Linked DNA regions of Notamacropus eugenii. The main gene of each other region encodes a partner of the protein of the gene in region 2 in a complex. Links are inferred from orthologs where the notes say so. Each region holds a gene or a part of one and is shown on either strand. Other genes may lie near its edges. The genes, in order: TMEM186, ECSIT, NDUFAF1 and TMEM126B.

The links.
Region 1: ECSIT (region 2) and TMEM186 share a complex: the UniProt entries of both Homo sapiens proteins name them as parts of the mitochondrial complex. The link is inferred for Notamacropus eugenii from reciprocal best matches to the Homo sapiens genes ECSIT and TMEM186.
Region 3: ECSIT (region 2) and NDUFAF1 share a complex: the UniProt entries of both Homo sapiens proteins name them as parts of the mitochondrial complex. The link is inferred for Notamacropus eugenii from reciprocal best matches to the Homo sapiens genes ECSIT and NDUFAF1.
Region 4: ECSIT (region 2) and TMEM126B share a complex: the UniProt entries of both Homo sapiens proteins name them as parts of the mitochondrial complex. The link is inferred for Notamacropus eugenii from reciprocal best matches to the Homo sapiens genes ECSIT and TMEM126B.

What each region holds. Positions count from the first base shown.
Region 1 is NC_092872.1:87,410,447-87,417,609, reverse strand, and holds TMEM186 (transmembrane protein 186), read left to right. Parts: upstream 1-4,153; 5' UTR 4,154-4,176; coding exon 4,177-4,308; intron 4,309-5,836; coding exon 5,837-6,463; 3' UTR 6,464-7,154; downstream 7,155-7,163. Other genes in the region: PMM2 (phosphomannomutase 2), read right to left, coding at 3,940-4,005. UniProt on the Homo sapiens protein: As part of the MCIA complex, required for efficient assembly of the mitochondrial complex I.
Region 2 is NC_092875.1:78,405,662-78,412,582, forward strand, and holds the start of ECSIT (evolutionarily conserved signaling intermediate in Toll pathway, mitochondrial), read left to right. Parts: upstream 1-3,915; 5' UTR 3,916-4,153; intron 4,154-5,790; 5' UTR 5,791-5,821; coding exon 5,822-5,953; intron 5,954-6,921.
Region 3 is NC_092878.1:27,496,352-27,503,744, forward strand, and holds the start of NDUFAF1 (complex I intermediate-associated protein 30, mitochondrial), read right to left. Parts: upstream 3,012-7,393; 5' UTR 2,642-3,011; intron 1,303-2,641; 5' UTR 1,227-1,302; coding exon 642-1,226; intron 1-641. UniProt on the Homo sapiens protein: As part of the MCIA complex, involved in the assembly of the mitochondrial complex I.
Region 4 is NC_092876.1:115,835,773-115,842,775, reverse strand, and holds the start of TMEM126B (complex I assembly factor TMEM126B, mitochondrial), read left to right. Parts: upstream 1-3,979; 5' UTR 3,980-4,239; intron 4,240-7,003. UniProt on the Homo sapiens protein: As part of the MCIA complex, involved in the assembly of the mitochondrial complex I. Participates in constructing the membrane arm of complex I.

The DNA.
Region 1 (7,163 bases), on a different chromosome or scaffold from region 2:
ATTACTGAAAAATAAAGTTAATTCTCCCTAACTCATGGGGTTGTTGTAAGGGGGAAAACAGTTCTATTGCTAATAATTACTATAATTCATATCATCAACCATAAGTGTTTCTTTCAATGGTATATCCTGCTTCAATTTCAAGTTTTCAAGCTCCCTCTCCCACACTATCCTCCAGGAAGCCAATTCCAAGTAACTGGAAATTAAGGTGCAAAGTCTTTTCTTCTGACCTTAACCACTCTAACATGCAAATTTCACCCTCCTCCCCATCAAAAAAAGTGACCTGTGCTTGTGTATGAGGAAAATATTTAAGGTACAAAAGAGGTAGTCTACTCAAGTACCTATAACTTACATTTCCTTTGTATTTCAGGCCTCTCCACATTAGTATAATACAGTATTATTATTCTGCAGGTGCAACAGAAGGGGCTCATTAAATGTTCTGCTAATGTAAAAGTATCAATGGCTTATGAGACCCAGGGTCCTGTTTCAGACAGATCTGCATTAAATGAATGACTGGAGAAGTTACCTAGTCATTCGGTGCTTTAGTTTCCTTACCCAAATAATGAGAATAATACCTGTCCTAGAAAACTGAATGAAGGAGAGTAAATGAATGGCAGGTGTAGAGTTCAAGTGAGCACAGACTTATGTCCAGTCCATTGCAGTCCCTGGTTCACAATGTACCATGTATCTCTTGAGGAAATTTTGGAGCTCTGGATAATGCTGTCCTATGTAGATATTTACTAATCCAATTACTCCCTGACTGCCCTGCCCTCAATTTTCAATACTTCACTGAGCCATGATTCTTACTACTCCTCTGACCAATGGAGACTTCAAGGAACCCTCTCTAACTCATAAAGAGTTGTTTGGTTGAAAAGTTAATTTATCCGTCTTTGACATGGGCCGAGAGAAGAGCAAATTCTTAAAGCACCTGATGGGTAACTTTCCTCTCCACTCCAACTTCTGCCCTTATATTTGGGGGCTTCAGTTTACATACTGATGAAGTCTCAAAAGCTCCTGATCTCATTATCATCCACCTTCCCAATCTGTAACTTTCAGATTGCACTCTCTGACCACAACCTCCTATGTGTCTTCCTTCCCCCTTCTAAACTTATACTCTATCCTCAGTGTAACCTCTAATCATTTCACCCCTTCTTATGGGGTTCAGACTCTGGAACCTCCCTGAACTCCCTGGAATTTTCCCACTTAATCTGGCCTTTCATATTCAAATCTGTTGTCCTGGGCCTAGCCTGGGCCTTCCATTGTCTGTCACCTCTGGATTGCCCCACTTGCTTCCCACCCAAGCCCTCCAAAGCCTGATATCTCCTGATTGCCTTCAGCTGTTTTTAACCCTTGACTAGTCACCCCAGTCCCACTGAGATGCTCCTAGGACTTCTCCTCAAGACCCTCTCTAAACCCCCTCCTCCCATCACCCTAGATAGACCAACAGACCACTTCCAGATCCCTCCTACAGTCTTTTTTTGTATTTAAGTTCCATCTTGCCTCCATGAAGGCACTCAGATTCAATCCAGTTCAGACTCTGTCTATCCGGCCTACTTGTGAATACAAGAGTTACAAATGCTCAGGCTCCTTAAAAGTCAACCAATATGGCGAATATTTAATAAACTTTGTTTTTCTTTGGCTTGTGTCGAATTCATTCGAGCAGGCCCTGGCATGTTGGTCCTTTGGGGTTCCCAGCACCCCTCAGACCTCAACACTTCCTGCTCTCCCAGGTCATCAATCTTGTCTGGTCTTACTTTTCTCCCTTCAAAAGTCTTATTTTATCAGTTCATCTTTACACTGTCCTCTAACCTGGAATCTCTTTATTATTGCTGCTCAATCCTTTCTAAACCCCAGCCGTGGATTACTTCCTCCATTCCTGTCCAAGTACTACAAGGAAGTTACAACCTGGATGACTGGGTCTACCACAATCTGATGTTGGCTGATCTAAACTGGGATCTCTCAGTTATATACCAATTCTTTTACTCTTCCTTATCTGACAGGTTTTCAACACTCCTCACATGGTTTCCATTCCCATATCCAATCAGTTGTCAATGCTTGTTTCTACTTTTAAGCCTCCTGTTCCCACCTTCTCTCAACTTAAACCGTAACAACTTAGGTCTTCATCATCTGTCCCCAGGATTATTGCAATAACTTCCTAGTTGGTTCCACTGCATTTAGACTTTCTGCTACGTCCTTCACACAGGTGCCAAACTGTAAGTCTAAAGCACATGCCTGACCATATCACCATCTCTATTCAAGAAACTTCAAGGGCTCTCTAGGGAAAAAAAACCTCTCTAGCACTTAGGGATTTTCCCAATCTGGTTCCGTGAACAAGACATTCTGTCTCCCAACTCTGCCACTGCACGGACTCCCCTGTGTGTACAATGCTCTCTTTCCTTATTTCTGCCTCTTGGAAGCCTAGCTCGTTTCAAGTCTCTACTCAAGTGACACTTTCCACAAGAGATATTTTCTGATTTTCCTAATTAGTGCTCCACATTCTGCACCCTGTCTTCCACTAAGTTATTCTGTATATGTTTTATATTCATCGGTACATGAATGTACATGAATGTACGCGTACATGCTGTTCCCCAAATAAAATGCATGAACCTTGACGGCAGGGATCTTTACATCCCAAATGCCTTATCTATCTACCCACCTCACCCTCTATACTAACATGTACTTTCCAATAACAGTGACTTTGCTCAGTTCTATTCAGGAGTTTTTGCCTTGTTTGCTCAGACTCCATGCCTGGAAGAGATTCTCTTCACATACCAACTCCATTTCTTGAAGAACGTCAAGAGAACTTAGACATTCTCTAAGACACCTTTGCCGATTATCCCCCCAGTTGACAGTAATCTCGTTCTCAATTAAAAAAATTTTCTTTTGGTCTGGATTTCTCCTTTGCACTTAACTACATTCTTTCTTACAGCACACTTAGTTGTGCATGGTCTTATCTTGTGCTATTAAATTATAAATTATCTTGTCCTATTAAATTACTGCCACACATAATTGAGGAATTAGAATTCTTCATTACTGCGTGAAGTTAGTGCTTGATGGAGGCATTATTAGCTATGCAGGGGCAGCCAGGTGGTGCAGTGCAGGAGGCCCTGAGTTCAAATCTCACCTCAGACACTTGACACTCACTACCTGTGCGACCTTGGGCAAGTCACTTAACCCCAACTGCCTCATCCTGGGTCATCTCCAGTCACTGGATGAATCTCTGGTCACTGGATCCAGATGGCTCTGGAGGAGCAGTGAGGCTGGTGCCCTGCACAGCCCTCCCTCACTCAGAACAAGGTCAAGTGCGAGTCCTGTCATCCTTCCTCTGATGGTGGGGTCTTCTTGGGCACACGCACGTTAGCTAGGCAGACCTCTCTGCCTCAGCATCCCCATCTGTAAAGTGAGATAACCACTGCACCCACAGAACAGGGTGGCCTCGAGCCGCGACAGGAAACAGCGCACACCTGTAAAGCGCTCTCTAAGTGCCAGCCACCACCACCCTACCTCCCCAGGTCCGCAGCGGGCGCCTGGTCAGCGGCGGCACAATCACGCCCCCAGAGCCACCACCCAGACCGGGTCGGAGCCCTTCTCCAAAGGGAGAGCGAGGTGTGGAGGCCGCCCGTGCTACACACAGGCCACGGGGAGCCGAAGCCGTCTGGGATCCGGAGCCCGGGGCTAGGGGTTCGAATGCCGGCAATGCTGCCTATTAGCCAGGTGAGGTTGGGCCTCAGTGTCTTCGTCAGTAAAACGAGGTGACTGGTCGGTCCGGATCACGGGTGCTCCCAAGCGCTAGGACCCCACGGGTTACCGGCCCCTCCCGTTCCCTGCCCCGAGGCGCCGGGCCTCTTCCCCTCCCCCTTCTTCTCCCCCTCCGCCGCACACGGGGAAACAGAGGCTCCGAGAAGCAGGCGGCCGCAGGGGGCGGGCTCGGGCTCTGCTTGCCTGTCGTGGGGCGGTGAGGGTCCCGTCGACGTCGAAGAGGCAGAGGACAGACGCCGAAGCCGCCATCCCGACACCTCGGCTCACCAGCACGACGGGACGCGCTGGCGCTCCAAGCTTCCCGGATTTGCCTCACGAGCCGCGGGGCACGTCGGGAAGGTGAAAGATCAGAGGCTGCCAAGTCGCACCTCTAAACCTCTTCTAGAGCGCACGACGACCCGCGGAACTACAACTCCCAGAATGCAAAGCCCCCAATATATCCCATCCCTCCCTGAGCTACGACCCATAGAGGTCAGGACACGCACGCCGCGGAGCCAAGTAGTTCCGGAGGACGGAGCAGGTTCGCTTCCGGAAGCGGGCGGCGGTACCATGGTGAGCAGCTGGGTTTCCGAGTGTAGGCAAGTGGGAGAGATCCACTAGCGGGAGTCCGAACCTAATTACCCCATCTTCCGTAGGCGGGAAGAAACCCCTCCCCCCCCCTCGTCTGCGGGCAAGGGCAAAACCTCAGGCCTAAGGCCCCGTGTCACCTCGTGACGTCGTGAAGTCAGTTCAATGGAGTACCTTCCATAACCATTTATTAGGCCCCTACCATGGGCTGTTGTGCTGAGGCCTGAGACAGTTCCGGTCCTCCCAGAGCTCACCCAGCGTACCAGAAATGTATACAAAGTAGCCACGTACAGGACACGTAGGTCCTTAAAGAGGGCCGGGCTACGGGCCCCGTCCTCCGCTCGCCTTCCCGTTCGAGGTCTTTTATCCCAGTCTAGTCCCGAAGCCCCCGTGGTTCCTGGTGCTGCAGACCCGCCCTGAAGGCTGCAGCCCTCGGGCCCTCGGCGCCCCTTAACTGGGCTGTTCTTTGACCTACCCCACTACCCCTGCCCCTCGCGGCGCCCCAGATAAGCACTCTGCCCTCCCTTACCTGGGTTTGGGACGTTGCGGCCCAACAGGCCTTCTTGATGGAACTCTGCATGGACTGCAGGAAATTAATCATTAGATAATATCATTAGAGTGACGTCTTTGGGTAACAATGCCTAAAACGCTCTTCTTTCCTCACCTCTGCTTCTTTTAGACTCTTTCGCTTCCTTCAAGGGTCATGTCAGAAATCATCTAATAAGGGATTCCAGTAATCCCTTCCAGCCTACTTATTAATGCCTTCTGCATCAGATCAGTCTGAGAGTAATGGCTGTGCACGAGATTAGCCAATCCCCCCCTCCCAAAAAAATAGTCCCTGCCCTCAAGGAGCGCATGCTCTAATAGGAGAAAGAAAATGGAAACAACTGTGTATAAACGTTATACACAGGATAAATTGAAAATGGCAGAGGAAAGGCACTAGAATTAAGAAGAATTAGGAAAAGCTTCCTGTAGACTGGGGGGCGTGGACAGGTCAGATTTTAGCTGGGACTTAAAAATAGACAAGGAAGGAAGGAATTTCTAGTGTTTAGTTTGAGGACACCAGAGTCACTGGATCACAGAGTATGGGGCCAAGTTTTGAAGTGATGAGGTTAGCCCTGGGCCTTAAGAAGATCACTGATACGTGAGTGGAGGATGAACTGGGGTGGGGAGAGACTTGAGGCAGGGAGACCAGCTAGCAGGCCGTAGGCTCAGTAGCATGTGGTAATCTACACCAGAGTGTTGACCTTGTCAGAGGAGATAACGGGGCAAATGTGAGCTGCGAGCAAGGTGGAATCAACAGAAATGGACAATTTACGGGTTATGGGAGGTGAGAGTGAGGAGTTGAGATTAACATCTGGGTTGTTAGCCTGGGAAATTCATATTATCTGTATTATTATTAATCTTTGTATCTACTTCCTTGTGTATATGCTATATACCCCTGAGGGCAAGGATTTGACTTCCCTGTTACTATGTATTGGGATTTGTGAGAGGTCATTCTTTTCCCTTCCAGGTTACCATCTTCAAAGCTGGTTTCCCAATTCGTTGGGTAGTGATGTTGCAGTCAAGGCCTTGGTTTTGCAAGATGCAAGTTCCCAGTTTGTATGTGGGCAGGCCTGTCTCCACATCCCCTGATAAACCATCAACCATAGAGGCTGAAAAATTCCAGATGATTTATCGCTTTCCTGGCATCAGATTCTGTGGATCACTGTCCCGGGTGAAGATTCTGCAGACAGGGATTACTATGGTAATATTGCCACTGTCCTGTTATTGGTACATGCAGGGCTTCATTCCCCTGGACTCCCTGTCTTTCACAGGAGGTGTTGCTAGCTTTGCCCTAGCCATGTTGTACTGGATTAGTCATTTCTTTCGTCGGCTTGTTGGAATCCTTTATGTGAACGAGGCTGGCACTGTGTTGCGCGTGGCACACCTGACCTTCTGGGGCCGGCGTCAAGACACATATTGTCCGGTGGCCGACATAATTCCTGTATCTGAGACCAGTGAACGTGCCTTTGATGTGTTCTTGAAGATCCAGCAGTACAATAGTGATCAGACCTTCTACTTAACATTGCGTTTTGGACACATCCTGGATAGGAAACGATTTGTGCAAGTGTTTGGGAAACTTGATGGAAAACACTGATGGTTTGGAAGAAAACCTGGACCTTAGGGGAATGTGCTTTCCCTGGAGCTTTGAATGGTAGCCTCAAGTATGCCTGTACTGGACCTGCACCAAGCATATCTCCCAGGGCTTAAACTAGAGAGGGAGGTTAAGAGACCAGAAAGTTGAGTGTCTGGTGGCACACAACAGGGATCTACTGTGTGCCAAGCACTTGTCTTTCAAAATCAAGAGATAAGTGAACTAGAAGCCGACCTAAGTTTCTGGTAGAACAAGTTGCTGAACTTTGAAAAGGGAGTACTCAGTGGAACTGTGAAACTGGTTTTAGTGGTGCAGTGGGAATTGATTTTTCCACTTTCATTCTTTTTCTGGAAAAGGCAGTTTGATTTTTGGAGAGAAAATTGTCAGGACACAGTGGTCCTTGTTCTGCTGTTGGCTGATTATAATGACCATAATGGCATGTTAATGACGTTCAGTTTATCAGAAAGAAAGTATTACTCTGCTAATATGTGGTAGATGCTTGAGGAAGACATGACTAATATAAAACGTGGCTATTTCATCCCCCTCAGAAAGGCAGCTTTGTGCACTCCTCAGAAACGGGATGGAAATCAGAGGTTTGCATAACATCACAATTGTGATTTTTTTTTAACCTTTCAGAGATTAAAATAATGTTACACTGTAAATATTGCAGTATAATAAAAGCTGTGAGAGTTGAGTTGTTTGT
Region 2 (6,921 bases):
AATCTGGAACGAGGGGCTGTGGGAACTTAGGATGGAGGTATGTTAGAAAATGTTGGGAGACAACTCCCTGCTTCAGAGAGAGGGGTGCTGGTGGTTGGAAGACTGCGGGTACCAGTGGTGCATTTTTAGGTGTGTAGATTGAAGGAGCCAGGACAACCTGAGCCGATGGGCATTGGGTTGGGAAGACAGATGAAGTAAGTGGTGGGGTGTTGGGAGGAGGGGAGGCCGCATAGGTTCCGGGAACAGATGACTCACTGCTGTGGGCGGGATGGACCAGAAGGGTCATCCAGCACGTCAGGATTCAAAAGCTGGGACTGCAGAAGCATTACCCGGGAGCCCTGCCCTGCCGCCATACCAGCCAATCCAAATCGGAGGACACACCTCTCACCATCTGGAGCAGGGATACCCTTGACTCTCCAGGGAGCTCCCAGTGCTGACCTTGGCGTCCCCCTCTCAGGAATTCTGGCTCCCTGCCGGGTACCCATGACTACTCTTCTTGAAGATGCTGGCCCAACTGGAATAGCCTCAGGGTCCCAAGAGGCTTCTGGGGCAGACATTGCCAGCTGCCTGGCCCTTCCTATCCTTTTTTAGCCTGGGGCATCTGGAGTATTGGGGAAGCTGAGCCTTGGATCTGAGAGGCTGAAAGGATTTGAGGCCCTCAAAGGTTGTGGGATGAGGAGGAAAGTGAAGTGGAAAGAGTATTAGGCTAGGAGCGTAAGAACTCCCCCCACTGTTGACTCCCATCCTGGTTCAAGCCTCACCTTTGCCACTGAATTTCAGTTTCCAGAATTAATCATTCAACAGACATTTATTGAATGCTTACTATGTGCCAGGCACTGTGCTGGCGATACAAAGACAAAAGTGAATCAATGCCTGCCTGCAAAGAGCTTACATTCTAACAGGGGATTCAACATGTGTGTAGGTACACAGCTATGAACATATGTATACATGCATATACATACATACATACATACATATAGTATACAATATACCTAAGGTAATTTGTGAAAGGAAGGCACTAAGAATTGGGGGGCCCAGGAAAAGCTTCATGTAGATGATGGTTGAATCTTGAAGGAAACTAGGAATTCCAAGACATAAAAGTGAAAAGGGAGAGCACTCTAGGCATGAGTAAAACAGCCAGTACAAAGATATGGAGATGGGAGATGGAGGTTATGTGGGAGGAACATCAAGTAGGCCAATATGGTCTCAGAGAGAGAGCGGAGTAAAGTAATGTAAAATAAGACTGGAAAGGCTGGAAGGGACCTGTTTACAATATTTAGATTATTGTGTTTCTCTTTTCTCTGCCAAGAAGAACCTTTGCACCCAATACAGAAGAACAAATATAGCTAGTAAGGCGCTCATACCCCCAAATAAGCCAAAAGAGAGTCCTTAATTCCCCTTGGTGAATTCAAGTTACCTGATGATCCAGATGAACTACATGTCTGGGTCCTGAAAGAACTGTCACATGTGATGGCTGAGCCTCTATTAGTGATTTCTGAAATGTAACACTTCCTCTGGGACCACTTGCCTAACTCCCACTTGAATTGACAAGTCTGGTCCTTCAGAAGGTAGCTGCTAGTGCTACGCCTCAAAAGGTTCTGGGGGAATCAGAAGCCCTAGGGTTTCTAACACAGTTGATCCTGAGCCCCCACCAGTGTGCTTCATGGTTATTTTTAGCCAGTATCCTCAATTACATTTAGCAAGAATATTTACTAAAAAGGTATAGTAAAAACAGTTGGTAAAATATTTTCCTCAGATGGACTAATAGGGCACACCCTCCCTTTGCACACACAAGGTCCTTGGGAAAGTGAGCTCAAACTTAAGAGCACAGTGGTGGTGAGGCACCTGGTTACTAGAAGTTCTTTCTCCCTTCATGGATCCATCATGAAATTCATAGCAGGGGATGGTCTGAGTGATGGTTGAGTTTACCAACACGACTGGCTTTTTGCAGGGCTCTTCTGGAAAGGTCAAGCTGCTACTAGGCTGAGCCAGTTTGCTGTTGGGTAAGCCTCTGACACTTGAGGTTACTTTTCTGCTGGGTCTGGCCACTTCTCCATTGTTGTGGGTACTCTCTCCTCCAGTTCTGCTCAGGTGCCAAGGGAAGGAAAAGCATCAGCTTTCAGTCTACAGGTGTACCAGAACATGTATTGCTTATACCATCTCTGCCTAGGTATCTCCACCTCAAGCCTAAAAGTAGGTAACCTTGTGACTCCTGTACTTAACTGTGTATCCAGCTCTTTTGTACTGTGCTGGTGAAACTTTTGATAGGACCTCAAACTCTCCCTGATCCTGGTAGCCTGAAAGTGGGAAAAAGAGAGAGACACTTTTCAATTTTGTTCTCTTTTCTACTTTGTTCTATTATCTACTTTGTTCTTTGTTCTCAAGGGCTTTTCTACCCCCTTATTGGCTTGCAGTAGGTCTATGAAATTTGGAAGTAGTTTGCTATTTTGTATGTAGGTCTAGAGGCACATTTGATCATTTCAGGCAAGCCTATACTGTTTCCTGTGCGGCATCATTTGCCTTTCATCAAATGGCCAAAGCCCCAGGATCCTTTCGAAATGATAAAAAAGGCTTGTCCACACACATTTTCATAAAGGTTTAGGAAAATTCCTTTATACTTAGTGTACTCCATTCGGTGATTAATTCATCGTTTGGGGGGCCTCAAAAGTCCAAAACTAAACTCATCATTTTTCACCTTAAACTCTCCCTTGCTCCTAACTTCCCTATGACTGTTGAAGACAGCACCATCTTCCGATCCTTGACTCTCTGTGTTCAAGCAGTATTTAAAGGATGGATGCAGAGGAGAGATTGGACTAGTGTGGTTTATCCTCAGAGGACAGAACCAGAAGCAAGTTACAAAGAAGATAATTTAGACTAGATGTCAGGAAAACTTTCTAATGATTAAGATTATATAAAAGAGTAATGGGTACCACAGAGGTGGTGTTTTCCTTATCCCTGGCAGTCTTCAAGCAGAGAATGGATGACCACTAGAAAGGTATGTAAGGATTACATAAATTGGATTAGATGGTCATTGACTTCTCTTCCAACTCTCAGATTCTGAAATTTTGTGAAATACCCAAAATGATCCCAGAGGTAACATAAAACCACTGGAGTTTATTGAATGGTGTGTGTGTGTCTGTGTGTGTGTGTGTGTGTGGATTGAAGGGAATCCAGGATTGAAGTAGAGAAATAAAAAGGGAAAGTTATTGTGATCCTCCAGGGTAGAGGAGATGGGAGCCTGAACTAGGAGGAAGGAGACAGCATATATAAAAGAAGATGTAGGGATGGAAAGGACAACCGAAAAATAGGGATAATGTCTGTAGCACTTGCTCATAAGGTCGTTGTTTGGGTGGGGAAAAAAACGACCTCTTTGTCATCAACATCTGTGATTACTGCTGTCTCCTATCCCTAAAAAAAGAGGGCGCACAACTGGAGTCTAAGGTGACTTGGGGTTCTACATCCTACCAAACATATCAACTCCTTTGGACGCCTCGGGGATTCAGCTGTAAACTGGCCGAGGGCGGGGCTCGGAGAGCCCCGGAGAAATGCGGAAACCCTCCATCCAGTGTTTCTCCCCGGATCTGTCTGTCCATCAGGGCTGCACCGGGGCTGGGTCCCTATCAGTCCTGGCAGCCACGGACCGGAAAGACGCTGGGCTCATGCTCACTTATCACCACGCAGCCGCCTCAATTTCTACCCATTTCGCAGATGAGCAAACTGAGGCCTAATGGGCCTGACGCGAGGAGCGCAGAAGCCAAGAGATGCGCACGCGGTGGAAGCCCCTCCAAGTGCAGCCTGCGCCGGAAACGGCCTTCTTGCTTAGACCTGGGTAGGCGGACCTGGGGCGGGGTTTTCAAAAATGGTGGGCGGGACTATCTAAATGACGTCTTCCCATTGGCTCCTGATCTTGAAAGATTTTTTTTTTTTTTTTTTTTTTTCCTCTGAGAAATCCGGTCGCTCTCTGCCGGGCGCCCCGTGACCTGTGACCCGGAAGCTCTGAAGACCAACATGGCTGCTCCCAGCCATACCGTCTAGTAGAGCCGGAGACTGCTGAGAAGCGCTGTGGCTGGGAATCGCCGTCGCGTAGCTCGAGAACCGGCCCGGACGCCGGCCTCCGGATCCCGGCCCGGCCTCCGAGCGCGCTTTGCCACAGGTCTGCGGACATGGTGACCTTTTCCCCTTGGATCTCGTTTGGGAAAGGGAGGAGTGGGGCGGCGTGTGTTTGTGTGTGTAAGTGTGCGAAGGAAAAGTGCCCACGCGTGAGTATACGTGCGTATTGTGTCGTGTGCATGTGGATGTGGATGTGTGGCCCTCCAAAGCCCCGTCCCAAACCCAGGCCCCAGGCTAGGCAGGAAGCGCGCGGTGCGAGTGGGGGGAGGGGCGGGGGAGGCTGAGCCCGTGAACCCCGTGCCCCAGCCGGCGCAGGCTCGAAGCTGTCCCCCAGCCGCTCTGTGCTAGCCCCGGCGTTGTGGAGGTGTGTCGGGCGGGCATCAAGCGTGTATGAAGTGCTTGTTGTGTGCTAGGCCCTGCACGCCCACGGGGACGCCGAGAAAAGCAAAAACAGCCTCTGCTGTTATGGAGCATGGCGGGGGCGCCAACCCGAAGCTCATTACTGAGTACATGGGAGGGAATCTCAGAGGGGAAAGACTTTGTGTAGAAGAGGGCTTTCAGCTGAAGCTTGAAGGAAGCCAGGGAAATTAAGAGGCTGGAGTGAGGAAAAACAGCATTCCAGGTTTGGGAGGCAGCCAGAATACCCTCATTGAGAAACAGTAAGGAGTACAAAGTAGTTGGGTCAGAGAGGTGGTTGTTGTGTTTGTCCTTTGTTCTGGAAGAGGACCGTGACATCAAGATGACATGACTTGCAGTTGACTTTGTGTGCAAGGTCACCAGCCTCACTTTCTTCTCCTGAGACATCCGGGTCTGATGTTCATCAGGATGACTGGAGATGGCCCAGGATGCAATGGGAGACCCTGGCCCTTTTAGGCTAAGGTCTTATCACATTCTCACTTTGAGTGAGATATACCCATTCAATGAATAGGCTTCAAGTAGTTACTCCAGGGATGGCCTTTCTAATAACAAACAAAACAAAACAAAAACAAAAAGAGAGTGGGGGAAGACCCTTAGGGTTCCTGGGTAAAAGAGAAACAGTTACTATTTAATATTTACATTCACTCAGAGAGGTAGACTAGAAAGGCAGGAAGGCACCAACCTATGAAGAATTTTGAATATTTCATCCTGGAGGTAATAGGAAGCTACTGAAATCTGTTGAGGATGTAGATGTGACCAGGTCCAGCCTTCTCTTTAAAAAGATCACTTTGACCATCAAACAGAGGATGGATTGGGTTTGTGAAAGACTTGAATTAGGAACAAACACCAGTTAGGAAGTTATTGTAATAGTCTAGGCTTAAGACTGTAAGAACCTGAACTAATGTAATGCTGTGTAATTGGGGAGAAAGGGATGTACGGGAGAGAGGCTGTGAAGTATAGAAGTGATAAGATTTGGCAATGGATTGGATATGTTGGAGGAGAGTGGGATCAAGGAGTACTCTAAAGCTGGGAGCCTAGGTTAGTGAGAGGATGGACACACCCTGGGCATTGTAATAGTATCAAATATTGGAAGAGAAGAGCATTTGAGGAGGGAAAGAGGATAATTCTGAGGGGTGTGTTTGTGTATGCATGCACGCACACGCACGCATGTGCACACGCACACATGTGCATGTGCACGTGTACAGGGAGGTTTCCAAGGCCATTCTCTGGGTCAGCTAACCACATATCCTTTCCTTGGATTAGGTAGGCATCTGGTTGCCATTAATTCCTGACCATGGCCAGCAACAGGATGAACTGCGTACGGAGAGCTGTCCTAGCCTGGGATCACTCCGTGGGTCGCCCCTTCCTTTCCAGAGCTGCTCCAGGGCACAGCCCTTGGCAGCTGGAAGGAAGCTGCCTTTTACAGGTAGAAGGGATGGGGTAGGGAGAGAGATCACCTACTTGCCTAACTTTGGATAAGCCATTTAAGCTCTCTTGGCCTTCTCTCAGAGGTCCTCTACCTCCACATCATTGTTTTACAGTGTATAAAACCATCACCCCTTCCAGTTTTTCATCCTGTTTCCCTCTTTTCAGGCCTGAGTAGGTTGGGGGATAGGAGGAGGCACCAGGTTCCCTCTGGTTGTGCCCCATTCACTTGCCTTCTTTAGTTCCATCTAAAACTGACTCTTTAGTATAAATCTTCACGTGGCCGTTCAATTTTGGTGTCATTCCTGGCTAGCATTTCCTTCAGCAAGTTCTGTTGAATGTTTAACAGTTTCTCAGGCCATCCGTACTCAGAGAGACTGAGAAAAATTAGGAATGGAAATCTGAAAATATAAATGGAAAAGAACACAAATGTCCTCAGCAAACATAAAAAAAACTTTGTGTTGAAGATAGAAAATCCTTTTCCTAATACAGATGTTGGCTATCGTGGGAAAGAAGGAGGAGCCCGTAGATGTACTGGGAATCCTTGGTTAGATTTGGCAGTGGTTTGGATATGTTATATGAGAGAAAGTAGAGTCAATGATAATGCTTCAGTTGGGAACTTAAGTTAGTGGGAAGATGGAAGTTCCCTTGACAATACTATTGAAAGATTTTGGAGCCTCAGGATTACAAATTGGGGAGAGGAAGGAGAAGGCTTGAGTTTTTTCAGAGCCAGCTAGGCTCTTTTGTAGATAACAAACCCCAGGACCAAGTATTCAAGTAAGGAACTGAAGTCCAGAGAGGTTGAGAGCTAAGAATTCAAGGTTATATCTATAAATAACAACCAGAATGCAAATCTCATTTTTAAACTCCAGTTCCAGTTATCTTTCACCTGTAGTTTACTGCCTCTCCTTTAGGAAAGGAATGAGGTCCCCCCTAGGAAACCCCACCCGATGGAGGTAGGATAGGCAA
Region 3 (7,393 bases), on a different chromosome or scaffold from region 2:
CTGGAAATAGGAAAGTCAATAAGAAGGAAGAGTACAGGATGACCCCAAGCTCAAACTTCAGAGTAGCGATATGATACAACACAAACTGAAGCAAGTAAGTTCCTGCCAGTGTGTCTCCCGATCTGCTAAGAATTATCCAAGTGCAACCCAAACCAAGTGTGGGAGTCTGGTGCAGGACAGCCCTAACCAATTCCCAGTCTGATAATTCCTCAGAAGATCCTGAAGATCTGGACTCCCTCTAAGAAGAGCCAGAGGTGGGCGGGTGGAGGGATCCTACTTTAAAGCTGAGTCAGGGGCCCACAAAACACATACTCAAATCTTCATCCACCTTTTCTAAAACCACCCTGGATACACTGGGCTTTTCTGATACTGGAATGATCTACTCTGGCCCAAATGACCAAGCTAGAAAATAAGGGCTAGTCAACTAGTAATTTGGGACTTTCTAAGAATGCTTTTAAGCTTTAAGAATGCTTTTTTCCCTTTAATTTCAGTGGTGTAAATGTGTCCCTCAGTATAAATTAGAGTCCTCTGCTCAGGATACTCTGTGTATTTCCCTCACCATAAATAAAAGCAATGTGCTACCATGGAGACTGCAGAGAAGGGGACTTCAGAGAGCCAAAGAGCTTGACTATCTCACCTACCCTTGGAATCCTGGATGTCAGTGCACAGTATCCACTTCGTTGAGTCTCCCCATCATGAGGAATTTCAGTATTGAGAATCCCATAGAAGAGTGCGCTTTGGTTATTGCTGGCCATTTTCAGGAAGGCTTTGCTTCTGCCTCCTATTGTCCTGTCCGATGTCACCAGCCACTTATTCAAATCTTCATCACTGCGAAACTGCCACATTACCCTAGTATTTTCCAGTAAAACTTGATGCAAAGGGCGACCTTCAGGTCCTATCCAACGGTCTACCACCTCCTTTGCTAAAAGTTTAAAATGGTCTTTTATCTCAGCCCTAATTGCTTTGTCAAAAATAATTTCAACCTTTTCCTTAGGTGAAATTAGGTCTAAACCAACCTCACCCTTAGTTTGTTTTTCCAATATGCCTTCAGTCTTTTCCTCAGGGGAAGATCTATCTGAAGCAGCCTCTGTTTTTTTAATACTACTGTACAGTCGGGAGGGAGAATCAGAAAATCCAGGCCCCAACAAAAAGCATCGTGCAGTATCTTGCATCCCGCATAATTTAGGAAAATGAATGCCATTTAGCAGCTTCTGAAGTAAAGCCATGGTAGAAGCAATTCAAATCATAAAATTCTCCAGAATTTACCAGGGAAAAGATTTTCAGCTACAAGTCCAGCTCTACCTGTAACAAGAGAAAAAATACAGAAGTTACCAAATTAGCAACAAACTTATCCTGTCTTTCAAATGTAACCAGACTCTGTAAAATGCAACACAGTAACCCACACCTTCCTGAGCCTAAGGTTAACTGGAAATCTTACAATCATCTTACTAAGTTCCATAAAACATAAAGAAAATTGGGGGTGAAGCCAAGATGGTTAGGTAGAAGGAAACAATGCAAGTGGGTTCCTGTTAGTCTCTCCAAACACATCTATAAAATGTACCGAACCAAATCCTGATGGAGAAGTTCAGAAAACGTCATAGCAAGTCCTTTGCCAGGCCCAGGTCTGCACAGGCAGACAGAGAGGTTGGCACGACACTAGCAGGAGGCCATATACCAGCACCAAAGGAAGTCCCAGACCCACAATGGGGCACAGAGATGGGGACAGGTGCCAGCTGGCAGTCTAGCTGCACACGGTCCAATCCCAGGGCGACGATCCAGGACAGAATATGAAGGGTATCTGTGCACAGTAGCGCTGTTTCCCAGGAGGGAGGCCCAGGGTGGTATCAAGAAAGAAATTCAGTGGAAATTGAGGGGAATGCCCATCCATTGGGGAAAGACTGAACAAGATGTGGTATATGAATGTAATGGAATACTACTATGCTATCAGAAATGATGAGCGGGAGGACTTCTGGAAAACCTGTAGGAACTGATGCTGAGCGAGGGGGGCAGAACCAGAGAACACTGCACCCAGTTACAGCCACACTGGGTGATGACCACCTTGGACAGACTCGGCTCTTCTCAGCAACACGAATTCATGTTTAATATGAATGTCTGCGTAGAACCTACATTAGACTGCATGCCCTCTTGGAGAGGGGGCAGAAAGGGAGGGGGAGAAATTCTGGAACTCAGAGGCTCGTGGAACTGAATGCTGTAAATTAAAAATAAATGGATTTTCTAAGAAGCCAGCACCAGCAGCAGTGTGGCCCGGCGTCTGGCCCTGCCTGCAGAAGAATAACCAGGGCAGAAACCAAAGGGAGGTCTACACTTCTGCCCCTGGGAACCCCCACAACCGTCCAGCTGGCTGACAGCGGGCTGCCCCGGCTCGGACCCGAGCCCAGAGCTCTGACCAGGGGAGCGCCCCGGGGGCACTGTCCCTGAGATCCTGGGATAACACAACCCTCCGCAACCCCAGCAAGCAGGAACACTACCAGCTCTGACCTCCCCTGCCCCATCAAGTCGGAAATAGGGGATCTGAAACTCCATTAATAAAAGTCCTGGGTTCGAATTCTGCCCCCGTCATTCCCTAGTTACCACCTCTGTGACCTTGAACACGCAACCCCAGGGGCCTCGGCGTGCTCACCCGTAAAACGAGGACGTAGGGCTGGAAGACTTCTGCGTCCCTTCCAGCCACAAATCTAGGATCCTCCGAAGAATGAAGGCCACTTCCGGGCAGTGGAGACCGGCAGGCCGCAGCTTAGCTACTCGTAAGGGACCGGGAGCCCTGACATCCCCTTCCCCCGCCCAGTCTGGGGTGCGGGGCTGACCCCTAACTCTCGCGAATCAGCCTCCTTCCGAGGCCGGAAGTCCGTGGTCCGACACCTATCGCGTTCCCCCTAAGACACCTCACATGACTCTCCTTCGCTTTGCGGGCGCAGCTCACCTTCCCTCTCGATCCTCTCCCGGCTTCAAAGAGTGACTTCCGCCCGCGCCTGCGTCCTACGCAGATTAGCGTCCGCCGCCGCACGCACTCCCAAGCATAAAGAGTTCCGCCTATTGGAGATGGATGACGCCCAATCACGTCAGAGCTGGGGGTTTTTTTTAATGCCCTGCTAGAAAGATTACGTAGGACGTCCCTCTAGACTTTAGAACCGCTAGGTGGCGCAGGAGATACAGCGTTGGACACGAAGCCAGACTGACCTGAGTTCAAGTTCAGAAGGAGACCCCCTGCTGGCAGAGCCAGTCAGGGCAAACCTGTATCTGCCTCAGTGTTCTCATCTGTAAAATGGGGATGACAGGAGCACCAGCCTTCGGGAGCATATTGAGACGATCCAATGAGGTAATCGTTGTAAAGACTTTGGCAAACGTTCAAGTGCTAATTATCGTTAAAGACAGTATTCCCATGACCGTTAAAGCCTAGACCACCCCTGTGGTCCTCCACGTGCTTCAGGTTTTCTTTGGCTTTCCTTTTCCAAACTGGATTCTCTCAATTTCAATCTTTTAACAAATTTTGTTTGTTTTATTTTATTCAATTTTATCTTTTTGAGTCAAAAAATCCAATTGGTGGGCTCTCCCCCACCAATTCCATTTCCATTTTAAAAAATATTTTATTGTCTAATCAGGCAAAACCCTCCTCATCCTCCCATTTTTTTGCCTTTTAGCATTATATTAAGTTTTACAGTTTTGGGGCAATAAGCCCCAATTCTTTGCTTCCTGGAATATTATATTTCAAGTTCTTTTCTCTCCTTTTAGTTGCGGCTGCTAGTGTGTGATTCTGACTGTAGCTCCCTGGTATTTGACTTCTTTCTATTCTGGCTGCTTACAGTATTTTTTTTTCCTTTGATTTGGAAACTCTGGATTCTGACTATGAGATCCCTGGAAGTTGTCATTGGGAGGTTTCAAGAGGTGACTGCTGGATTCTTAAGAGATCTGGACAGTTTTCTTTTCTTGACATAAGACATCTAGGCTTGTTTTTTTCTGGTCATTGTGTTCAGATTCTTAATTTTTTTCTCCTCAATCCGATTTCCAGGTCAGTTGTTTTTGCTATTTTTTTCAGTATTTTTATATTTTTTAAATATATTTTTTGTTACCTCATGAAGTTATTAGCTCCTATTTGGTCTATTTTAATTTTCAAGGAGTTTGTTGATTGGGTAAAGTTTGGAAACTGTTGTACCATGCTGTTCATTCTCTTTCCAATTCTTTCTTACATGGCTGTCATTTCTTTTCCAATTTTTTCCTCAAGCACTTTTTTTTAGCCTTTAAAAGAATGTTTTTGTTATGTTAACTGTGATACAAATTTACTCTTTTCTTAAAGGAGGATGCTATTTTTTCTTTTTGATTGATTTTTCTAATCCAATTATGTTTTATTTGTAGGTCCACATTCTCTCCTTTCCAGCTAACCTCCATCCACATTCAGAAAGCAAGAAAAGTGAGATGTTACAAGCAGTAGAATCAAAAAAAGCAAATTCCTGCATTGACCATGTCCAAAAAAAGTCTCATTCTATACTCAGAGTCCATCCCCTGGTCTGTCAGGAAGTAGGTAGGAAGCTAATTTTTTAAAGAGTTTATATGCATATTATTTATTTGTTTATTTTCCAGGTGTCACTAATTTTTAAAATTTGTTTACAGCTTTCTACAATCATTTCTATAAGTCTTAGATTTTCTCCCCCTCCTTCCCCACAATGGCGTGCAATCTTATATGGGTTCTACACATACATTCTTATTAAACATATTTTCACTTTAGTCATGTTGCATAAAAAAATTAAAATGAATGGGAGAAACCATGAGAAAAACTCAAACAAAACAAAACATAACACAAGAGAGAAGAGTCTGCTTCATTCTGCGATCCAATTCCATAGTTCTTTCTCTGGATGTGGAAGGCAAGTGCTTTGATTTCATCTATAAAAACATTTTTTAATTCTTTCTTCATCTCTTCCAGGAATTCTAGTTGATTTTTTGTCCAGTCTATGTTTTTCTCTGAAACTTTACTTGTATATGTTTTTAATTCATTCTCTTTTTCTGCATTTGTGCCTTGCACTTCTCTGCCCTCATAATAGTTCATTATGATGTGGTTCTGTTTTTTGTTTGTCCATTCTTACATCCTACTTCCTGGAGGGAAGGTCCAAGCTGTTCTTATTCCTGCTTTCTTAGGTTATTGAGGGTTGTCATATTCTAGGATCTCAGGGACAGGCTGGAGAGCTGAAAGCTTTCAGTGCTCCTGTGGTGTTCCCATCCAGGGCAGAGTCTGATTGCTGCTGCTCTGATCTGAGCTCTGCAAGTTCCTGACTTGGGTTTGGGTCCAAGCAAGAGCAGCCTGCTGCTGGATTCAGCCCTTATCAGTCAGCTGGACAATTGTGGTGGTTCACAGTGGCAGAATTGTAGGTTTCTCTTTTGATCTGGGATTTCTGCCCTGGTTATTCTTCTGCAGGCGGGGCTAGATGCTGGAATTGGGTCTCTACCCTGTTCCTGGAGGCTAAACCAGGGGAGGGGAACCTGTAGCCTTGAGGCCACATGTGGCCCTTTAGATCCTTAAGTGCAGCCCTTTGACTCCAAACTTCACAGAACACAGCACAAATCTCTTTTGTTTTATAGGACAAATGTGGCCTCAAGGCTGCAGGTTTCCCATCCCTGGTTTAAGCTGTACCTCGGTTGCTGCTGCTTACTTCTGAACTGAATAAACTTTCTTCTTTCTTGGCCCACTACTCAAACACCGCTTCCATATTCAGGCTAGATTTACGACTGTGAAAGCAAGTTCCCCAACATACACAGGACAGCCTGCTATCACAGGTTCTTAGATCTACATTTCTAAAAGAAAAGCAATTTTCAGGGGTTAACAATCATTTTAACCAAGCACATATTTATCATTCATTTAGTTCAGGGGAAAAAGTCAGCACTCTAAATTTCAGAGAAAATACAGAGAAATACAGATCAACAGACAGTGCTTCCAGCTGCCCTGGCATAAGCAATACATACTTCAGAGATCAATAGACTGTCTGACCATACAAAATAGTTACCAGAGAGAGAAGCACCAACATCTGGATTTTCAAAGTGGGGGAGCTCCTTAGCAGCTGCCCAGAGTCTCCTCTGGCCAAACAAAACACTTCCAATCAGTAAGCCCCAAGGTAAAACCTCACCTCAGAGTACTTATACCTTTCTCAGAGGCAGAGGGTATCACAACCCTTGAGAACCAGTGCCTCATTACAAAAGGTGTGGGCCTTCCTACAAATCTTCCCAGGTCCATTAATGGGTGGGGAAAATCTTCTTTAATCAATCAGAGGTACTTGATTATACTAAAGAAAAAACAGCAAAAGATCCTACTTTATTTGCCATTACAATAACTCAACTAGTAGTGGGCTACAAATCTGCTAGTGGGTAAGTTTCCCCATCACAGTGCCTCAGTATGAGTCTGACATCTCCCCTTCCCCAGTACATAGCTTTCTCTTGCATATTGGAGTGCTCTGTACTAGTATGTTCCTGTCCTACTTAAGCTCAGCACATCAGTGTTTGTAAACCTCTTTCTGTCTCTCTATGCAAAGCTGGGCTGGACAGATGACTCACTGAAACTTTTTCAGGATTTTCCCATCAGGATTTTGTCTGATCCATTTTGATATATATATGTAGAGAAGAGCTCAGCTTCATCAGTTCCTACCACTTGTCATCATGGCTTCATCCTTCAATTTAATGGATTCCTCCATTTCGATTTAACAAATATGTACTAAATGCCTATGTTTAGCAAAACAAACATTTTAGGTGACTGTATCTCCTCCTGTCATTATAATTTTTGCCTTAACTACCACTTGCCCTCAGACCTGGGTGGGTATAATCCAGGACCCTTTTGCCCAAAATCCCCGCCAATAGCAACACTCCCCAAACCACTCTCTCTTCTTCCAATCCAGACGTAGTCCAGGAAGCAACCCTTGTGGAGATGACACCCATCAATAGTCCTTGAAAATTCAGTGACATCTCTACCCCCACTTCCTCAAAAACCTGAACTACTCCTAAGATTTTTATCATTATTAGGGAGGTTAAAAGGAATTTACATAGACAGAGCATATGGGCGTAAGCTGGGAAGATCATGGGAATGAGCTTACAAAAACTGAAGGGGTGGGTGAAAAAGAGGGATGCAGTAGGAGAAGAGTGAATGGAGAGGTAGAATGGAGAAAATTTTCTCACAAAAAGAGAAGCTCAAGGAAGAGCTTTTACAAGGGAAGGGAAAATGAGAGGGAGGTAGGCAATGCTTGAACCTCTCATCAGAACTGGTTAAAAGAGGGAAGAACATATACATATACATATACATACACACACATGCACACACACACACACACACATACATATATACATTTGTATACATATACATCTATACATACATATATATATCCACTCAGTAGTATATAAA
Region 4 (7,003 bases), on a different chromosome or scaffold from region 2:
GAAGGAGATTTAGGTTCAATAACAAGGAAGAACTATATAACAATTAGATTTTTCCAAGAAGGAATATAGGTTGGCAGTGTTTAAACACAAACTACAGGAATACATTTCCAGGATACTGTAAAGAAAGTTCTAGCCTGAGTGTGAGATTAGCTTAGATGACCTCTAAGATCCCTTTGGAATACAAGATCCAATGATTCAATGATGCAATGAAGTGTTTGGATAGTAGTCTTTAATGTTGAAAAGTATGTCAATATCATGAACACTTAAAAACACATGAACATAATAAATGTCTCCAAATAAGCCATTTCAGAATGTGAATTACATGGTCCATCATGCCTTAAGCAATAATCAAATACATATTTGATGCAATATGTTAATACAAACTTTGATTCCCTAAAAAACATTGATGCATTTTAGAATCAACCATTTGTTTCAAGAAAAATAAAAACTAAAACATTCAACTTTCTTAGGATGTATGAACAACTTTCATATATGTTTATTAGCTATCTATAAACCTGTTCTTAAGAAGAAAATAACTTTACACAAACTCAAAACCTGAGTAATTTTTAAACATTAAACTCATTTTTTTTTTAGCTAACCTGTTTTTCCTAGACCATTGTACCTACTTCAACTTGCCACTCTTCTCTTCTTGGCTCCTCATTAACATGCAAGTAATATCTATTATTCTTTGTACAGTCGCTAACTTTTTAAGAACAGGGAAATAAGGACACAAATATAATAGATGGGGGAAAGACAAAGGAGTAAGAAGAGTAAAATTGAAAGTAGGACTCAAAAATCCAAAAGGATAATTAATTATAATACCAAAGCCTGTCTGGTTTCCAGGCAGATTCGTTCTTTAGGTTAGATTTATGGTGGATATGGTATGAGGTTCCCATGGGTCACCTAAAATCTACTGGTTATCCTAAGAAATCTGAACCACTTTCAGGGCATCTCCCAATCTAAAACCTTGATAAGAAAGGGTCAAATCGGGGGCTCTCTTGGGAGCATACATTGCCTTTCAGGTGACTATTTTTAAAAGGTTCTAGAACTGATCTAGCTCTCCCCTAGTCCTTCGACTTACGCAGAATACAGAGCCAGGTTGAACCTTTGGAGCAATTCTCTTGGACACATAATCAATTTGGGCCCAGAATTAAACCATAATATTACAGGTGTCAAAATACAGCAAGTCAAATGACTTGCCCATATTGTTGTATTTGTATGCATGTTGACCAGCATGAATGATGCTTTTAGCCGTTGGATGTTCATTTATTGTTTGATTCAGAATTTCTGAAAACATACTTATAACAGACCAGATCATAGCAGAGTAATAATAACCAGCATTTACATAACAAAGGACTTTATAAATAGTCTCATTTGATCCTCACAACAACCCTGGGAGGTAGGTGCCATTATTATCCATATTTTACAGATAAGGAAACTGAGACAGACCAGAGGTTAAGTGGCTTTCCCAAGGTCATACAACTAGAAAACGTCTGAGGCTGTATTTGAACTCAGGTCTTCCCAACTCCAGGTTCAGTGCTCTGTCCACTGCATCAACCCCAAATCTCCTCCCAGGCAGTCAGTCAACAAGCATTTACTAGGCGAAGTTTACTGTGTGCCAAGCATTGTGCTCCACAGTGAAGTAGAACACCAAATCTCACCCAATCCAACACGTATTCAGGATCAGACTAGAATTTAGGGGATGAAAGATGAGAAAATTCCTACTTAGGAACTTCCTAACGCATGGAACTGATGAGTCCAACTTAAAACTTCATCACTTGCCAATGATATGCTCAGTCACATTTTCTAATTGAAAATTTATACTGGAGTGAACCCAAATGTAAAAGTTGTCTGTTTTTGCTTAGAAAATAAAAGATATACTGCAAATCTACCATTTTATTCTGTACCAACACAAATATACAACTTTACTGTTGTAGTTTACAAGCTATTTAGTTTAATTATATTACATTCATGAGTAATACCAAAGACATTGCTAGAAAAAGTGAAATTTTAGCATTGAATCTATTTATTACAAATAATGCCTGCAGATTGTCTAAGGGATGAAATCACAACTAACTACTTATTTTAGCACAACTTCATTTTGGTAACAGCATTGTAGAGTGTGACACTAACCATGTGTTACCATAATAAATAGAGAGCTGCCCCAACTGAAGCAAGAGTTTCCTTCTCAAATGCAAAACAATTTAAATGACAAGTACCAGAACCAAACAAAACAGAAGATACAAATATTAGATAGGAAGCTTCATAGCCCACCTTTCTTCTTGACTGGCATTCTTGGATCTCTCTGCAGTCACTGGATTCAAGGACTTGTTTAGGTATCAACTTTATCCAACTGGGCTGAAGCCAAGAGCTAGGTGGCTGTGGCAAAGTACTTCGGCCGCTCAGTCTTGAAATCCAAGCTCAGTCTTCATTTTCACCAAGATATGAAGTAATGTTGAATATTTTTTCCACAATTAAACTTTTAACACCTCCCACAGAATTTAGAAGGGAAAAAAAAAGACTGGAGTTTCACAAAATTGTCTTTCAATTCTTATAAAATATTTCTTAATCTATAAAAAAACTGAGAACATTATTGTTGGTATAGAAAACATTATTAGAATTCCTCTTCAGGCAGCAAATTTGGTGTAAGTTTAATGACTCAAGGCACAACCCAAATTTAAACAACTCTCACTACTCTACAAAACCAACTTCAAAGCCATCCAGATTTAATGATAAAAGATGCCCAGTTCTACGGAGGAGAACTTTTCAGGAAAAAAAAAAGAAAAACTTTTTTTAAAAAGCAAAGTTCTTTGCCTCTGATTTCTGAAAAGGTTGGGTGAGTTTGAGATGTGCCCCCGGGACCGAAAGGCCGATTTCTATTCAGGGAATAAGAAGTTTCCGATCTCGCTCCCTCAGATCAGACAGCATCCAGGTCCAGTCCCTTTCCTTTTTCCCCTTCTCTGCTGCCCGAGCTACCCAGGCTTGTTCTCTAATGAATGCCACTCTGATCCTCCCATGTATTAAGCGAGGGAGCAGGAAAGCGCCGCTCTGGCATGGAGACGTTAAAGTGGCAGCGCTCTCAGTGGGCACTGGGTGCAGTGTGAGTTGGCGGCGCAGCCTTCCTCACCCTGGAGCCATTCACATCATGCCATCTCCTCTCATCCAAGCAGCTGCCTGGGGTGAGGAAAAACACAAGACCCCCTTTCTCCAAAGGAAACACCACCACCACCTCCACCACCCGGACCTTCCCCGGGCTGCCTCGGAGATCTCGGCAGCGCCAGCCCGGCACTCTGCCCGCTCCGTGCCCCCAGCCCTACCCGCACCGTAGCCCCTGGCACAAAGGGGGAGAGACCTTTTGGGGGGCCGTTTGGCCGCCACACACACACACCGTGCCCCAGCCCCGGTGCCCACACCCCTGCCTTGTCTGAGAGGAGCAAGGAGAGGCGGCAGGAGCAGCAGTTATGTAACTCGCGTTAGGGGCTTCTGGAAGATGGAAGGAGGTGCGGGCTCCGCTGGGGCTACGTTGGCTAGGATGCCTGGGGCGGGGGGGTGCACGACTACGCCCCGGGGGTCCCCCACTGGGGCGCGGGGGGATGGGAGAGCCTCCCGGACGGGCTGGGGTCTGTCATCGCCCCCCACCAAGCCACTTCCTTTGTGGGGCAGGGGGGAGCAGGCAGGGGCTCGGCTGACATAGGAGGGCTCGAGATGGGGTTGCATCCGGGTTGGGGAGACGCGAGACCCCGGTCCGCTCGGGTCCACGACAGCCAAAGGGGGGACCCAGGCCTGAAGGCAGGTGGGGGCTGAGGGAGGAGGGGCGGGCTCGTCCTGAAAAAGGGAGGGGGAGAAGAGAGCGGAGTGGTTGCCCGGCCAACGCCAGGTGGGCGGGAGCGACCCGCCCGGCTTCTCCCACAGACCAATGAACGGCCCCGGTTCCGGGGCAGCGGAGACCAATGGGAATCGGAAGAGAGGGCGCGGCATTTGACCGTAGTGGGCGGGCCTCCCTCCCCCTCGTGCTGGGGCTGGGGTAAGAGGCGGGGCCTGGGGCCAGAGCTCGGGAGGGACGGGGGCCACTGTGGGTCATGTGAGCGCGCAAGATGGCGGCGCCCAGGTGTGAGCGGCGGGACTCTCGGTGAGCGGGCTGCGCGTGGAGACGTAGCAGAGGTGTCGGCGTGGGCAAGCCGCCGCAGTCGTGGGGGTCCGACCGTAAGCCTGGCCCAGCCCTCCGAGCTGGTCTGTGGGGTAGGCCGTGCGAACGCGTCCTTATCTCTAGTGGGGGAAGTCGAGGCTCCGAGGGGGCTTGTTTCCTCTCAGGCCACCCCGGGACCGATGCAGGGCACGTGACAGGCCCCTCGGGCTTAGAACCGTGTTTGATAAGCTGCTCTCCTAGAAGGAAAATTCTGCATCCCTCATCAGAGCATCCTAAATGTGGAGTGGAAGGGTCCTAGAGGTCATGGAGCCCACTTTCCTTACTTTACAGATGGGGACACTGAGGCCCAGAGAAATAGTGACGTATCTAGGGGCAAACCTCCCGGAAGTGCCTTTGGGCAGGATTCGAACTTAGCTCCCTGCCTGCAAGCCCCGGGCCCTCCGTCCACATCCACGTAGCAGACAACTGGGTGACCATCTGTCAGGGAAGCGATGGAGGAGACTGTATTTTAGAAAGCAGGAGTCAGCTGCAGACATCTCCTCACTGGGGCTCTGGGCGAGTTATTTAGCCCGTTACCTCAGTTTACTCATCTGTAAAAAAAAAAAAAAAGGGGGGGGGGATAATGGTTGTTATGAGGACCCAGAGTTGTTATGAGGACCAGATGAGATAATAATTGTAAAGTGCTTAGCAGGAGCCGGCACACAGAATGCCTGATATAAATGTTTGTAGTAGTTGTGATAGAAGTTGGGAAAACTAAATTGAATTTTTTTTTACAAAGGCAAATTTGACTAGGTGACTGCAGAAGTTCCCTCTAACGGTGAGACTGTGATTCTCTTGTGTAACTGTTAAATTCGGGCAAGTCTGGTATAATAGAAAGTCTCCTGGTTTTATAGTCAGAAGACCCAGGTTGAAATGCTGATCTTGTATTCAGCTGGCAAGCCCCTTTTCTGAGCTTCAGTTTCATCCACTGTTGCTGCTTGGTTCTGGAAGAGGACCGTGACGTCAAGAGGTGATGCCGTGATATGCAAGTGAATTGGATTTAAGTGAGGGAGAGCTGTGCAAAGTCACCAGCCTCGCTTTCTTCTCTAGAACCATCTCAGTCCAGGAGCCAGATGTAGGTCAGGACAGCTGGAGGTGGCCCTGGATGCAGTGGGGGCCTTTTCCAGCCAAGGTCTTTAACTGGTCTCAGTTTGACTGAGGCAATGTCCATTCAGTGATTAAGGCTTAATAAAAAATTTGGCAAAGAATAACTACTTTAAAAAAAACAGATCTGGGAGGGGAAGACCCTTAGGGTTTCCATCCAAAATAAAAATAATTGCTACTTACATTCATTCTGAGTCAGTCAGGGCTGTGACCAAGTAGGGCTTGGCCTGGGACCTATTGTTGGCCAGTCTATGAGAGCCTAAGTGATTTGGGGTTAAGACTGGTCTTCTAGAAGAAAAAAAAAATTCAGAGATTAAAATTTACATTCCCTTTGGGCAGAGCACCTGCACGTAAGGGTGTGATACTCTGTGTGAACTAGAGAGAGAGAAAAAGAAGGAAGAAAAGATCCTCTGTAAAATGAGGACAATAAATCATCTTATTAAGGCACAAAGCACTTTGAGCTGCATGTTATACATTATAGCCAGTGGTGCCCCTGTGACAGCCAACTCCCCCCACCCCAAAAAAGTAAGTTCCCACACGTTTTTAGTGCTAGTGCCTTCCCTCTGTTTATTATTCCGTTTATCCTGTACAAAGTTGGTACATAGTTGTTGTATCTTCCCATTAGATTGTGAGCTGTCTCTCTATTAGACTGTGAGGTCTTCAAAGGCAGGAACTGTCTGTTGTATTTTTCTGTATCTCTAGTGCTTAGAACGGTGCCTGAAACTTAGTAAATGTTTATTGACTGGCTTTCAGTAATTCCAGGTAGGAAGAGATAAAGGCCTGTACCAGAGGGGTGACTATCAGAGGAGAGAGGTGAGATGTTAAAGGTAGGATCGACAGGACGTGGCAACAAATTAGATGTGGAACGATAATAGAAAGTGTGAAATCAAGGATGACATATAGGTTTAGAGCCTGGATGACTGGGAGCATGGTGGTGCCCTTGACAATAAAAGGAAAGTTCTGAAGAGGGCGGGGCTTGGGGAGTGTTCAGGACACGTTGAGTTTTAGGACTTTAAGATATCCAGAAGATGTGAGACTGAAGGTCAGGAGAAAGTTTAAGACTGGATAAATAGATCTGAAAATCATCTGCATAGAAATGATCATTAAATCCATGGGATTTGATGAGATACCCCAAGCAAAATAGTATAGAGAAAGAAGAGAAAAGGGCCCAAGATAGAGCCTTGAAGTATTCTCATGGTTAGTGGGCATGATCTGAATAAAGATCCAGCAAAGGAGCTGGAGAAGGAGCAGTTGGACAGGTAGGAGGAAAACCAGGAGACAAGTGTCACGAAAACCCAGAAGGAAAAGATTATCATGGAGAAGAAGGTGATGAGAGGCTGCAAAGAGGTTAAGAAAGATGAGGATTAAGAAGAGGTCATTAGGGAGGGAAGGGGAGAAAATTATGATTATTATCGCTTATGGAAGTGATTGTTGAAAATTGAAAACAAATAAATTTGGAGGGAAAAAATTTTTTTAAATAAATAAAAAAACAATGGCATTCAGCACTTGACATGGCAGCCAGGAATGTTGCTTTGATCTTAGGTTAAACTAATAATAATTGTCATCATTTATAGGGTGCTTTAAAGTTTACAAAACATTTTTCAAATATGATCTCATCTGATCCTCACAACCAAAAAAATATAAATAAAAGGCCTTTAGATTGGGTAAGTAAGAGGTTACTAGTAATTTTAAAGCCAGTAATTTCAGTTGAAT